Linked DNA regions of Tribolium castaneum. The protein of the gene in region 2 purifies or fractionates together with the protein of the main gene of each other region. This does not show direct contact. Links are inferred from orthologs where the notes say so. Each region holds a gene or a part of one and is shown on either strand. Other genes may lie near its edges.

Region 1 (3,102 bases), on a different chromosome or scaffold from region 2:
TTTAGTAAGCTGACTTCTGCAGAAATATAATAACGAATAGCATACTAGTGATTTCATAATTATTAAAAAATTATAAGTGTGTATAAACACGTTCTACTTTTTGTGAATATCACCCAACTTGTTTGATTGCAGCGCGAGACCGAAATCCTCTTCTTCCTGATCATCGTGATCATGATCAGGACCCGAAAATCGGGCAGTGTATCAATGATCAATTACTTATCGTCTAGTTTCGTGTACACAAAAATAGCGAATTTGATACTATGGTTCAACGCCGATTTTCTGATGGGCATTATCTACGGGATCATATTCATCTGTGAGTCATTTTGTGTCATAATTGTCGCATTTAATTGGGTGATTTCAGTGGGGGCGTTGCTATTTCCCGAGCCCACGTATTCCGGCCCTGACAATGTCATTTATTTCCGGGGCATGCAAGGCTTGGACGAGGAATTGGCACGTAGTCGGGACGGCTATTGGTTGGTCACGTTTTACACCGTCTGGAACCCGGCTTGTGTGAACTTCGCCCCGGTTTTCGCAAAACTGAGCACCGAATATCACTTGGAGAATTTCAAGTTTGGGAAAATCGACGTGGGGCGATACCCCGATGCCGCACAGAAATATCGCGTGAATGACAGCAGTTTAAGTAAGCAGTTACCCACGACAATTCTGTTTAAAGAAGGGAAAGAAGTGGTGCGGAGGCCGGCTATTGACTCAAAAGGCAACATTTTGAAATTCTTTTTCTCGAGTGAGAACGTTAAAGGGGCTTTCGATCTCAATAACTTGTACGAAGAGTGCAAGAGCGCGCTTAAGAATAATAAGAACAAACACGTGAAGAACGACTAATTATTGTTATTTATTTGTTTCTAGTGCCATAGTAATAAATTGTTAATACGACAAAAGCATGGCTTTGGCCACTTCTGCCGCCTTGTCCTTTCCGACAAGTTTGTCCACTAGGGTTAGGGCGAAGACGAAGGCAGTGCCAGGCCCTTGACTTGTAACCAGAGTCCCATCAACCACAACTGGCTCCTTTTTGTATTTATATTGACCACCTTCGAGCATTTGCGCCTCCATGGCTGGGTACGACGTCACAGTCTTGCCCACATAAACCCCATGGGCCTTCAAGGCCGTGGGCGCTACAACCCCATAATTTTAACATAGGCAACCAATTATACAGGTGACACAGGGCTGTGTAACTTTGCTATTTGAAATATTGCTATGCTGTTTTCATTATCCGATAGATCGACTTAAAATCCACAAACTAAAAATATTTTTATTATACACAGGGTGTTGTATAACGGAATTATTCAACTTCTGGTTATAAAAAAGACCAATTTTTGAAAAATCATAACGAAGTCGCCTATGAATATTTTCCGCCAAATTTGCAATAGAAAAATTCTGAATACCTTGTAGTTTTATCAAATAGATTACACACCCTTGGGTCACCCTGTATAATTAAGGAAATTTCACAGTAAATTATTACAAACCGGCACAAATCGCCCCCGTGAGTCGCCCCGCCGCCTCCTGCTCCCGAATCAACTCCCCTACTTCTTTAGACGCGGCCAAAGCCTTCGCCCCTCCTAGCCCCCCAGGTAAGACAATTGCGTCAAAGGGGCCTTTGGCCTCACAGATTGAAATGTCAGGTTTAATGTTGACACCGCGGCTGCACTTGATGATGTTGGCGTCCGGTAGGCCTGCAACTGTTACTTCCACCTAAAAATAACAGGAAAAATTTGTGTTTTTTTTTAGTAGGGGTTAATTTACACCGCCTCTGCGAAGTACGTCAATTGCGATTACAGCCTCCATTTCTTCAGCGCCTCCGGCGAGGAAAACAAGGGCTTTTGTGCTCATATTCGAAATAAAACGCACCGCTAATCCTAACCTATTAAAGCGAGTGAGCGGAGCCCTAAAACTTTGACATATGACTGACATTGGAGTAGGTCATGCCAGTTTGGGGATTTTGTTCGCGTTAGGTTGTTCAACAAAATTGCATATTTTGCAAAAAATAAAATTGGAAATAAATACACGTAATTCCCCTTGTGTCCGTACTCCCTAAATTAATGTCATAATGACTGATTTTGTTTAATTACGGTAATTACATCCTTGTAATTAACACACCTAGTTAGTTGGTGTTGCAAGGTTGGCGGCGGAATTTGACGTTTGCCACACCTATTTGTTTACCTACCCAAATGTGTCATACCTTTATTTATTGATTTAATTGTTAAAAAATACATAAAAACATGAATTACGGCAAGAAATCGCCAACGACTGGCACCCCCTCGGTGTACTCACACGTCACAACACGCAGCAGTGCGAATTTGCGAAGTAGCCGAAGTATAAAATCGTTGAAAATCCCTTGGTACAGAAAACCAATCATAACCGAATCTTATATTTTGGACGTCCAGAGATCCTCCCTATTAATCGGAGTGTTTTCTTTGGTATGTTACGCCCCCTTTGTTTAAATATCACATTTTCATAAATTTCATGTTTTAGCTGTTGTCCATCTTCACAGTTATCACAAGTTGCTTCGATCTCTACTGCTACTCAATGGCAGTCCCAGGGTCCGTCCACACCGGCTATTACGTTATTTCCTACCAGTTTATTTACGTGGGAAACCGTCACGGTAAGCCCACCATTTAATCGCCCATTTGTCCTCAATTTGTTGTTTTAGTCCGCAATACTCTTGTAATGTTTGCTGCTTTTTCCATTCTTCTGGCAATTGGTGTGTTTGTGACCAGCATTATGCTTATAATTGCTCTCCGGAAGGTAAAACTACAAAACTTTGATTTGTTGTTGTTGGTACTTGTTGTGGTGGTGGATAGGTGGCGCTAAATGTAACGAGTCACGAATATCATACGTACGGGCCAGGATATAAACGAAAGGCTGATTTTCAAACATCACTCTGGTTTCCCTTCAGTGCGAATAAATCTTTCGCCTTTTACTAAAGATTTCCGTGGAGGGGAACAATTCAAATGAGTCTATGAAAATTTCTTGATTGCCCGGCGAAAGCTGGGCGCCTGATTTAATTAAAGCAATATTTTCCATGTTACTTTTAAGTAAGTGGTTTTTTAATTGTATTATAATATCCACTTTTGCGCACTCTTATAA
Region 2 (3,027 bases):
TTTTTTTGACTGGACCGAATTTACTAAATTCTCTTTATGGTTGAATCTGAATCTGAGTTTTTAAACAATTCAAATACATGTTTAAACGTTCGAGGAAACGAGAAACGTGGAGAGTTGATTGCCTAAGTTGTTTTTTCCCTCAAATATTTTTAGACAAAACGTTAATTTCCAAACTTTTTAAATTTTGTCTTGTTACTACGTCTATGCATTATGAAAACATGTGTTTTTTATATAACTACACTGTGATATAAAATGCAAAAGCGCTGACCAAAGTATTATGTACGTATTTTAAATAATTTATTGTGTAAATCGTAACAATTGTAATACAAATACCAAGAGTCAACATTTGATATGGTTAAATATTTTAGCATTATTTACTTAATTCTCGTTATATTGAATTTTACATATCTGTTCATAACACAACAATCTTTTTTAAATTATTTATTCTTTAATAAGACTTATTCATATTCATGGCAATGTGAGGCAAGTCAGGTGTAAAAACAGCAGAACCAATCGATACGATTTGCATAATTAAAAACTTTAACTGTTAGAAAAGCACAATTACTCAGTCGATATTTAAGCAAATGATTCCAAGAATATTTAATCATTTCCTTAGTTCCTGCCGACATTTGATTTAAGAAAAAACAATTTTTTAGGAAAATGGATATGGAAAAAGTGTTAATTACAATACGATAATTCTTTGTAACGGTTTATTAATTATCACTAGTACTATAATTAAACCTATAATAATCAATGAATGCTATTTGGTCTTGCAACGAGCCTTGAAAATAGTTTTAATCAGAAACTAAAAAACTTAGTTAATAATAAAAATATCAACCATAAATTCCTATCCTCGATAAAATAAAATAATGCAACATTACAACAGCACTTCAAAGACATGTTGCTTTACAATTTGATTGCATTGGCTAGGGAGCAGGTCAAGCCAGTGCCGTCAGGTTCAACCTGAAGCGAGGTAATTTTGCCATTGTCAACAACCATGGAGTACCTCTTGCTCCTAGTGCCCCCAAGTGGGGCAATATCAACAGTCAAATCTAAAGCTTTGGTAAAAGCGGCTGAAGGATCGGCCAAAAGTCGGACTTTTCCGGTTGTTTTTTGGTCTTTAGCCCATGCTGCCATAACAAATGGGTCATTTACAGAAACACAAAATATCTCACTGATCCCTTGACCCTTTAATTCCTCAGCTTTCTGTACGTAACCAGGTAGGTGAGTCTGGAATGATCGCATGTAATAATAGTGCGCAATTCAAGGACAGTTAGTACTTTCGAACAACCGGGTGTAAAAGCACCAGGGACTGCAAAAATGATTATTTTTTTACCGGCTGCCAGTTGGGCTAAGTTGACTTTGTTGGTCGGGAGGTCTTCAAAGAGGTCGACGTTTGGAAGGGAATCTCCGACCTGTTATAAACAATAATATAAACATAACCATTTTCACATGTGATTATGTTACATAATAAAGAGCTATATTACCTTTGCAGGCATGTTGAGTGCTGTTGTTGTTTTCAGTGTTCTTTTAACAAACTGAGTTAACAATGAGTTGCAAATGATTCTGCTCGACGTCAGTTGACCAACATTCATTTTATACCGGCTTTTAATTATTTAGAAAAGTGAATAAGAGATGACCTTGGTGTCTTAAAACGACTGCGCAGTGCAACCATGCACCCACCAGTACTATTCAATTTTTAATTCTCAAGGCAATTAATTGATTTAGCGTAATTCATCCGGAAAGCATTTGCAAGGAAATACATTTTTTAGTTACATTTAATCTAAATTCGTGTTCAGAATTATCCTCGTGAGTCACATCTGTAACTGTAGTAAATAATCGGTGGTAGTATTTAGTAAAGACGGCATTTGAACCTAGTTTCTGCGAACTTTTGTAAAATAATTGTATTCCCGATGGAAAAAATGTCACTGAAACGCAAAAGTAGCGAAATAATTGGGTTTCGCAAAATTTTATAGAAAAAATGCGCTTTTATGACCACATTCCGCCAAATAATGCAATTTTTTAGTTCAAATGAATTTAGTTTGTCAGATATTTCGCTTATGTTCTGTTGAATAATTTATTTATGAATTTCTCGGGATGCAGTTATTCCAGGAATAGTGGAATGTCCTTATTAAAAAAAATCATGGAAGCTACATAGGTACTCGGAAGGATAGTTTGAAGGGCAGCAATTAAAAAATGATCAATAAGATCTAACACTTTTATTATTAGTATTGAGCCTTTTGTACAAATAAAGAGTGGCGATTATTTAGTAAAAATATCGATTCGATATTTGCAACTGATTATGCCATTACAGTAAAGGGTGATTCATCCCACAAACAACAATGAAAAGAAATTAAGTAATGAAAAACAGTGAGACACACTGTGTATGACCGGAAAGCCATTAAAAACCGTGTGTTAACACGTGATATTTGTTAAGGTACTAGATTTTATTTCACTCTTACGAAGTAATAAAATAATCATCTAAGTTGCCCCTTGCAACAATAAATACGTCATCATCATCGTAAAGTTCAGATCCATATACTCACTTAAACTAGTCATACATCATCAGCTTTCCGCATTATTGTACTGAACGAAAATATAAAAAATAAGAATACAAACTATGCCTTAATCGTAACTAGTGTCTTGGTGGGGCTGCCGCCGGCGACCTTGACCTGAACCGGGAGCTACTACTATCGAACCTCCTGCCTCCGCCCCCTCGCCCATTGTAGCTATCACTCCTGCTCCCGTAGCCATCTCTCCTCCTGCTAAAATCCCTTCCGTAGGAGCGCCCTCCATCATCGCGCCTTCCTCCCCCGTAGGAATCAAAGCGGCCTCCAGGCCGCCCCCCGCGGCCGCCTCTGAAGCCGCGGTCGCCACCGTAGCCGCCCCCGCGGTACGGGGGCCCGCCTCGGCCCCGGCCGCCCCTAAAGCCCCCGCGGCGGGACTTGCCCCTCGCGATTTCCACGCGCAGCTTCGAGCCCAAGAAATCGGTGCCGTTGAGGCTATCACAGGCCGATTCGGCGTCGC

Evidence for each region.
Region 1: the proteins of Prx5 (region 2) and protein dj-1beta fractionate together in Homo sapiens (co-fractionation; 3 studies listed by BioGRID). This does not show direct contact. The link is inferred for Tribolium castaneum from reciprocal best matches to the Homo sapiens genes PRDX5 and PARK7.

The regions. Positions count from the first base shown.
Region 1 is NC_087401.1:11,635,915-11,639,016, reverse strand, and holds protein dj-1beta, read right to left. Parts: upstream 1,950-3,102; 5' UTR 1,927-1,949; coding exon 1,759-1,926; intron 1,708-1,758; coding exon 1,482-1,707; intron 1,131-1,481; coding exon 883-1,130; 3' UTR 841-882; downstream 1-840. Other genes in the region: thioredoxin-related transmembrane protein 2 homolog, read left to right, coding at 133-313, 362-840; uncharacterized protein pasi2, read left to right, coding at 2,235-2,432, 2,488-2,617, 2,666-2,760. UniProt on the Homo sapiens protein: Multifunctional protein with controversial molecular function which plays an important role in cell protection against oxidative stress and cell death acting as oxidative stress sensor and redox-sensitive chaperone and protease.
Region 2 is NC_087402.1:1,937,650-1,940,676, forward strand, and holds Prx5 (peroxiredoxin-5, mitochondrial), read right to left. Parts: upstream 1,658-3,027; 5' UTR 1,596-1,657; coding exon 1,488-1,595; intron 1,416-1,487; coding exon 1,281-1,415; intron 1,231-1,280; coding exon 907-1,230; 3' UTR 697-906; downstream 1-696. Other genes in the region: RNA-binding protein Rsf1, read right to left, coding at 2,636-3,027. UniProt on the Homo sapiens protein: Thiol-specific peroxidase that catalyzes the reduction of hydrogen peroxide and organic hydroperoxides to water and alcohols, respectively.